Linked DNA regions of Arabidopsis thaliana. The protein of the gene in region 2 interacts with the protein of the main gene of each other region in a pairwise test. Each region holds a gene or a part of one and is shown on either strand. Other genes may lie near its edges.

The links. Proteins that work in one complex are often made in the same cells at the same time.
Region 1: the proteins of AT1G51200 (region 2) and AT5G47390 interact in a two-hybrid assay, tested with the Arabidopsis thaliana proteins (one large-scale study listed by BioGRID).

The regions. Positions count from the first base shown.
Region 1 is NC_003076.8:19,225,047-19,229,412, reverse strand, and holds AT5G47390 (myb-like transcription factor family protein), read right to left. Parts: upstream 2,645-4,366; 5' UTR 2,413-2,644; coding exon 2,130-2,412; intron 1,969-2,129; coding exon 1,760-1,968; intron 1,473-1,759; coding exon 867-1,472; 3' UTR 518-866; downstream 1-517. Other genes in the region: AT5G47400 (sphingomyelin phosphodiesterase), read right to left, coding at 1-251. UniProt on the Arabidopsis thaliana protein: Transcriptional repressor. Direct regulator of the transcription of peroxidase (Prxs) and reactive oxygen species (ROS)-related genes via the recognition of 5'-ATCACA-3' motif.
Region 2 is NC_003070.9:18,982,357-18,987,153, reverse strand, and holds AT1G51200 (A20/AN1-like zinc finger family protein), read right to left. Parts: upstream 2,874-4,797; 5' UTR 2,600-2,873; exon of another isoform or gene 2,431-2,599; 5' UTR 2,398-2,430; intron 1,467-2,397; 5' UTR 1,465-1,466; coding exon 943-1,464; 3' UTR 520-942; downstream 1-519. UniProt on the Arabidopsis thaliana protein: May be involved in environmental stress response.

The DNA.
Region 1 (4,366 bases), on a different chromosome or scaffold from region 2:
AGGTCTTGTGATTGCGAAAGCGAATCGACGGTGTAGGAGTGTGGAAGCATCGCTAAATACGAAGGTGAAAACGAAACAAGGGTTTTTATCGAGAGATAGAGCAAAGGTTTACGCCGGAGAAGAAGGGTTTGAAATGCGAGGCGACTCAAATCGCGCCTTGTGAAGGGGAAAAGAAAAACCAAAGAGGGACAAAAGAGAAGAAAAAAAATCAACACGAGGAAGAAAAAGAAAGCGAACGTGCCACGTGGCATCTGTGTAAATCACCGCGATTAATTTTCCATGACAGTGGACTTTTTAACCAAAGAGTGGAGTGAATCGGTGAACGCGGGAACACTCTCGACACTCATCGCCCTAAATTTAACGCTCCTGATTATGACACGTTATTCACTCTTTTAAGGCCCATTTAGACTAATTGTTTAGCCCATTCGTTTTTTTACTTACGAAACGCTTGGGAACTTGTTTACTTTCTCTTACAACACTGGAGTCCGGTTAAATCCGGTTCGTCTTGGTTTAATTTCCGTTTTCAATCCAGTTATAGTTTTTGGTCAGAGGATAAACAAACTGTGATTTTATTTATTCAAAACTAATAAATTCTAATTTTTAGTACAGATTAAACGAAAATTAACGCATCCTAGAGTCAAAATAAAAGCATACAAATATAAAGAAATGTAAGCAAAAAATAATAATTTGTTTTTCTCCCTTTTTTTTTTCTTTTTTCTTTTCCCTAATGATCAAAGCTGAACTAAAACATCCTACCCAAGTTAAACAACCTAACAAAGAAAAACTTATTTAAGTTACTGTGACCAACAACTAACCTGTAAACCCCAAACCAGATCCCATTTTAGACCATCACTTCCTCAGGTCTTTTATAAAGCGTGTATCACGCTTTTGATGTCTGAACTATCAGAGCTAGGATTCGGGTGAAATGCTGATTGTCTTGAAGATGACCCGCCACCTAGCTTCAATGAAAGAGACTGATCGGATTCTCCATGTTTGTTGGACTCTGCAAGGCTGAGCTTAGACATACCAAGAAGCTCGTCAACATTGATAGGAGCTTTCGAGTGCACAGCAGTTGGTCTGAGAATTTCATGAGTTTCCTCTTTCTTGGGTGGTTCAGGAACATAACCAGCAGGCCATATTGGGAATGGAAACGGGTAATATGGTGAAAAGTAGGTCGGATATAGTATGGGGAATGAGCCAGGTAGTTGCGGCTGCGGTTGCAGTTGTGATTGCAGTTGTGTGGTTTCTTCTAGTCTGGAAGAAGAAGAAGCAGCAGCGGCAGTTGCGGTTGGTTCCCCGGTGGTAGAGTTTGTGGAGTCCATTGATTCACATTCTTCGATTTCCAAGATTGACGGTGCGTGAAGTGAGCTAGGAGCAAGTGTCTGATGAATAGAGTCAGCACCTTGCATTTCAGTTTCCACAGGAATATTATCTTCCTCTGGTTCTTGCAAATCCATGGGAATATCTCCAACCTACAAGGACAAATCACACAGCATAAGCAGAATAAAGAAAGAGAATTACATTTCAAGATCACATTCCCATGAGAAGACCAAAATGCTTAAGCAGGATTGGCTACAAAATGATATCCTCAAGCATATCAATTAGAACCCCAACAGACTTCAACTTTTCATATTGAAATGTAGAAGGCAAACCAATCCACCTAATAAGCTTCTGAATCCTTTAAATCAGTATCTCAACACATTTTGTAACCACTCCAATATAAATAAAAATGGTGTTTTTGAATGAAGAAGGAACAAACCTCATCAGGAACCATATCAAAGAGACTAGAACGTCTTTTGCGACGAGAGACATTGGATTGTCTGATGAAATACTTCTGAGCATGGCTAGCAACTTGTGTAGGTGTCCTAGTGGTCACATAGTTTCTTGAGATACCTCTCCAATCACCTTTACCCAGCTTCTGTAAACCTAATAAGAACATCCTGTGTTCTTCCTCTGTCCATGGAGTTCCTACAACAAAACCAATATCAAACACACATCAAAATCTTGTTACATAAACCAGATCACCACTTGTTACATAATGCAATCAACGACTTTGATGCAAAATAAACTCAATTACAAAAATTTGGAATTTGATAAAAAATTTAATCTCAGAAATCAAACGAAGATACCTTTCTTTCTCTCGCGGCTAGAGGAAGAGCCAGCAACGAAATCCTCAGAAGCGTAACCATCACCAGCGACATGGTCAGGGACATCACCCGGAGAACCCGGAGTGTTGGACCCGGTTCCATGCCCACCCGATCCAGAACCCGTGTAATGGCTAAGATTACCCATACTTGCACTTTTCCGGATCGAACCTTCGGTGAGCCGAACACCAAAGAGCTTCACGCCGCGATTGGGACAAGTCCGAGAGTTGTGGCCATTGTGATTGCAGTGAGAACATCGACGAGTCATACCCGACCCGATTTGCTTCTCTTAATCGGATCTGATCGAAGTCTGAAACGCTCGCGGATCGGATCTTAGTTGATCGCAGAAGAAGCACAGAATCTAATTGTGAGAAAGAGATAGAGAGACAAAGGAGCGGAAGAAAGACAATAATATCAGTTTATCTGGTCGGATTTATTACATAAATTCGATTTATCTGGCCGGATTTTTTTTTTTATTTATTTATTTTTTTTATTTTCAGTTTGTTTTTCTTTTGCTCTTAGTATGTTTATTTATATATATAAAAATCGGAAATTATTTGGTGTATCGTTGGTGGATTTTTTTCCTTTTCCATATTTCATATTTGACTTAATTAGTCAATCCAACGTGTTCTATTATTAGAAGATTTATTTTAGAAAAAATGTTGAATTACTTTGAACTAAGAAGTCCAACTAGCTATTACTATTAATTATTAATGGCCATTTTTGTATAAATTTTTTGGAAAAAGATGTATTACAGGCTAATCTCAATATCCAAAGTTTTAAATTTAGGATTAAAAAAAATAACAGCTTTCTCTGTGATTTCTTTTTAACATTATGACATATATCTTAAATAAGTTACTATATATTAATGCCACCACAAATAGTATAGCTGTAACTAATAACTCTTTCTATATAGACTAGTTAATAGGTTTAATGCATTTGTGATTATCCAATTGTCTTATGCTAAATCATTACAATTTCCTTATATTTTTCTATTTATATAAGGATGGATATCTATACAAAAACTGCAAAAAGAAAAATTAAGTATTTATGTACAAGTGTTAACCCTCCACCAGAAATTAACAATTGGCATGAATATTATTAGCCACAAGATTAATTACACTATTCAACATTTTAAAATATCTTAATAGCCCTTCACGCGTTCCATACAGAAAGCTTGACTAGATTTTAACAGTTATAAACACAAATAAGTAAAATATGACATCTGTTTAATAAGTTATCATAAGAAAAATGGTAAACAAATGCCAACATCCTACACATAGAGAAAATCTAATTTTTGGTCATATAGTAAGGCGACAAAACTATTGTTATTTATTTAATAATCTAAACTGAAAATAAAAGTAGACCCATGACTGAGTAAAATATGTTATCTTAAGAAAGATAAACATGATTGTGATTTCATTTCTTGCTAAGATTACAAATACCATAATATTTGTATTAGACACCCCCTAACTCCAAAAGTCATATCTTATAATACTAAGATATATTTTATTTTGTGGTTAATTGTATTATTATTATAGATTTATAGTTCCATAATCATTTGTATGGATTAGAAGAAGAATAAATTAAAAGGCAATGCAGTTTTTGTTTATGAACAGAAAAAAAAAAATGGACGAACATTTTGGATTTTAGATGATAGAAAGAGAGATAATATGAGTGGATGGGTTTAGTGATATAGATTAGGAGGTCCCACGTTTGAAAATGCCACGTGGACACGAGGAGAGCGGCTTATCCAGAAAGGAACCTTTGGTCAGATCTTCTTATATTATTGTGGGATTCCTTCACAAAGCTTTATCAGCCGTCCACGTGTATTTCTCCCGTCGGTGGCATATTCGCATATTATTTCAGATTTCTTGTCATTATTTCATCTTATTATATAACAACAACAACGTTACTCAAATCTTCTTTCACCTAAATTATAAGTTTCTAGCTATTTTTAGCCACATACATAGTGTTTATACCTTTCTCCAACTTTTTATACCAATTTGATTTCATCTTCATTATAATATCCTTTTGCATGCCGTGGAGGATCCCAGTGTTTGTATTTTTAAAAGTTGAGAGACTTTGACAAAAAAATTGAGAGAAACCCCGGGAAAACGTTTTGACTGTGATTGACCCAAGTAAACGTGGACCTTGGGCCAATTTAAATCTCGAGGCCCAAATGCTGTCTGCTTCCAAGAAATTATCGAACATTGAATAAA
Region 2 (4,797 bases):
ATCAAACAAAACTGAAAGCGGAATAAGTACGTAGAAGATGCGGTGCTGGGGTTTATGAGGAAAACGAACGTACGCTTGATTGTTTGCCAAATCTTGCGGTTGAGATAGTTACATGTGTCTCTAGTGAAATGGTTGCGGTTGAGAAGGAGTTGCGGTGAAGCAAAAGCGCATCAGTTATCACTATCAGTGATGACTCATCAAAAAACCGGTAAAATCAGATAAAACGCCGTTTGTTGTGTAGGCAATGAACCAAACAGTTCCAAACATTTTTATACGATGTCCTCAGGAACTAGTATATAGTATGGTGACGTTTAAAGCAACTCCTACGATGCCGTTTAGAGCAAGTTGATACGATGCTTACGCAACTTGATACGACGTCGGTTTTTCACATAGGACATGTTGTAAAGCAAGTGAGGACGACACCCTTTGGAGCTTTTGTCTCCTTACGATCATCTCCTTCTTCTATGGTTATGGGCGTTCGTACTCAGAACAGGAAAAAGCGAGCTCTTCAGTGTTTATCGACCCATATATACACATATATAGTAAGCTCATGACTTTGCAAAGTTACATAACTCACCAACCAGAGAAATTGAAAGGAATCACTGATTGAAGGACAAACACAGGCCTTTTTAAATAAGCTTCATGTAGCTACAGAGACAATCTCAATATGATACAGACCAAACAGGAAACAATAACACAGTGCTCAAAAATAGTAGAAAGATAAACACACAAAGCATTTTTTTTAAGAGCACGTTTCTCTGCTTGCAAACACAGATAATAGAAAGTTCCACACCACAGAGAGATGGAAGACGCTAAAGATCAAGCACGCTTTCATTCGACCTTATATAAAACCTTTTTAACATGAGAATACTTGAACCAGACACAGACAGGAGAAGGAAACACCAGGCCACCTGATGAAACCAGAGAAGTTTACTTAGATTTTCAGATTTTGTCAAGCTTCTCTGCTTTCACAACCGGGTTTGCCTTAGCTATCGCCTCTTGCGCAGCAGCATGGTAATTGAAGGAGCAGTCATGTACGTCTGCATAGCGGTGTGTTCCGCAGAAGAGGCTCCCACAGCGACATTTGAATCCAGTCAGGCCAACCCGCTTATTGCAAGTAGTACATCGGCTTGGTCCCTTTGGTTTCGCAGCTTCTTCTGGTGCTACTACCTCTGCAACGACTTGGACAGAGGATGGCTGTACAGAAACAGTCATCGGCTCAACGGATTTGGTTTCAATATCGACCAACGCAGCGGTAAAGGTTTCCTTTATGATGTTGCTGGATGACGATGTTCCAGACACTGCAGATGCAAACTTAGCGCCCTGCTCCTGTTGGAACAACATATCCTTGTGACACTTAGAACACATGTTCATTGTGGCAGCGCTTCCAAAGAAACCGCAGTTGTTAGTACATAGCTTGGGACCTTCAGGTGGGCTTTGGCATCCTGTCTTGTCGTGGTCCATTTCTACATTTAAAATCAGCCATCTTCAGTCTCAGTGACATGGAAAAATAAAACAAAAATTCGCAGAAGATTCACGATGATGAGTACATTTAAACCCAATCAGTATCATCAGTTGCCTTAGAAAATCAGTGCAAAACATACACATGAAAATAAGCAGATGAACAATTCTTTTCATGAAATAACTTATCTGGATACCTTACACATGATCTTCATAGTTTATAACCACACTACCTATAAGCACCTTCCTATAATTCAGGATCTTTAACTAAATAGAAAGAAGAGAACAAAAGCAAGCCTAGAGCCATTTCTCTGCTAACTCTAGAACCTGAAACAGACAAACAAATCTTGCTGACCTGTTTTCTAACAATAAGCTACCCAACCAAACAGAAGTGTCTAGGTTACCTAGCACCTAGTACCACATTCATTAGGCAAATTAGAATCATAAATGAATCATTTTAAAAACATTAGAGCAGCTAATCTTATTTCTATCCAACACTACTTAGAAATTAGCCTCTTATATCAGCGTAAAGCTATAAACTTTCAAAGCAATTCATTTCAAGCTTCTAAAACATGCAAAACTCACATACTAATCTAATTTCCATCTAACACTACCTTTCTTAGGTTACAACTTTTCATAGCAATTCATTTCAAAATTCAAAAGCATACAAAACCCACATAGCTAATATCACTCATATCCAACACTACCTCTCTCCACAGAAATGAAAATTTTCAAAACTTAGCCTTTTAAATCAACAAAAACAAGAGTTACAACTTTTCACATCAATTCATTCAAATTTCCAAACACACACAAAACCCACATGCAAATATAACCAAACAATCAAATCATTAAACAATCGAGAACCATAAAAAAGAATTCACATCAACAGCTTACAAATGAACCCTAAATAAAACCAAATCCCAAAAGCTAATTCACCTGTTTGCCCTTGAAGCCTTGATAGATCGGTCCCTAATCAATAAAAAAGAGACAAAAACAGAACACATAAGTTGACCGAACAAAGGCCTCCCACACAAAGGAGGAATCGAATCGAAATGGAAATGAAATTAGAAAACAAAATCGAGACCCAGAAAAGATTATAAAGGTGAAAGCAAAATAGAGAAGAAGAGAAACCCTTTACCCTACGAATCTCTCCGAACAAGATCGTGTCTGCTGGAGAGATCCAGCAGAAGCTGAGAGGTAGAGGAGAGAAAGAAAGAAAAAAGGTCGGCTTTTTAGGCTTTTTTTTGGTTTGTCTCGACGATTTTTTTTGTAGCGACGTTTATATTTTCGTTTCACACCGTTTGTGCTAGAGTCGGCTATGACGTGTACGTATCTTATTGGCTCTGCTTTTGATTTTTTTACTCATTTCAAATTTCAATTCATTTTACTTTTTTGAAAAAAAGAGTTAAGGCTTCCAAATGTTAACTCGCTTTTTTGAAACGGAATTAGACACTACATTTTTCAAGAACAATTAGTTAATTACCAATAGTTTGAAAATGATATTAAGCTTTTTGGTTAATATCTAGAATATAATATATTCTTTTTCCAGTTTTATTATGGTTATTGTTTGACAAGTGTTTGTAAACTTCTTAATTAATAATAATCTTTTATATTTTAAAAATTTATATATTAAGAGGAGATGGGTAACATAGTTGTTGAGGGAAGAATTGGGCTTCCTCCAATTCAGGTTTTAATTGGAATAAACTCAAGGAATGGACAATGTCCAATAATAATTAAGGTAATTGGGTCTATTTTCAACTTAAAATTCGTTTGGAAGAAAACCTAATCGATGAGTTAGCGTCTATAAAAAGCCGAAACCATGTCAATAGGTCGGAAGGTAGATCCACCAATTTACTTTGACATATGTCCTATCTTGGTTCTTATAAATACAAAATAGCAAGTCTTGTCACAAGATCTACACTTTATGTTGACATAGAGAGAGTGCACTATTAGCTCGTCCTCAAACCCATCGAGCTTGTCCAATATTAGTCAGCTCGTTTTATATGTCGTTTGGTCCGCCTCTTGTTCATACTAGTCGTTTCAACAGGACAACCCTTATAATTCGTTCACTTCTCCTAAATTCGGACTCGTTTGATTAAAGAAAGATTCTTCTTACTTTTTTAGGGATTTTTATTTTCTTACTAATGTGTTTTGTGCATCATCCATAATTTCGCATATTAATTTATGTAGTATGACATATAAATTAATGTTAATAGGTGATAGTATATGTTATGAATCTAATTTTGTGCTAGAGAGATACATAGCATACAATATATATGTAACTCATAATATATAATTTCATTCCTTATGTAAACTGAGAATTAAAATCATCCATACATTGCTATTAAATTATATTTTTGTGAGATTTCTACAAATTTGAATAGAATTTTTTTGAGTAATGTAATGAAAAATTACAGATTATGTGATCATTAGTGTTATTGATAATGGATTGTGTATCAACAACCACTTATATAATTTTGGTGATAATTGCCAATTAAACAAGATTCTTTCTCGAAGAAGTATCCGACAAGAAGATCTAGCTATGTTTAGCAAATTTTAATGGATGCAAGATAACTCATAAGCAATTGTATTATATGAATAATAGATAATTCATGAAATGAAGTCAGAGTCTTGAAATAATTTTTCTCCTACCACTAAACAACTTCTTCAAAGACATATTGGAGCCACTCACATCCTACTATGAATATCTATGATCTCATTTTTCTAGATAAGAGGCTATAAATTTGACAGAGATTTAAGCAATTGTTAGACAACAAAATTATTAATAAAAGAATGGTTCTTATTAGTTCAAGTATCTACAATGGAGCATATACAATCTCATGGATCACATCTATGAGAAATATATACGGTTGTATATAGTTATAAACTATATAAAACTACAGTTTCACTTCTCTAGTTTATGTTTATTTTATTTTAAAGTCTTAGCAATCATTTTAGCAAAAAAATTATCTAACTATTTTGAGACGGTAATCATTCCAAAAATCAAGTATTTTTGTTTAAATGTCACAATACAAGAGTCTCTTTGTTCTGAAGAGTTGTATACTAAACAATTGTAAGCTGATCTAACATGCGAGTTTTATAAAGACATGTCTAAGGATAATCAAAGTATGGTTTCCTAATGTAAATAATAAGAGATATTTTTAAATTACCACTAATTATTTCTCCTACGGATGATCAACTCTTTAAAAAATATCAATTATTAACTTTACTTTCTTTCTGAAAGTCAACAACCAAGACTTTTTTTTTTGTGTGCAACTCAACAACAAAGACTATTCTTACATTATACACATAATATGTACCTGCATATCCGTGTAC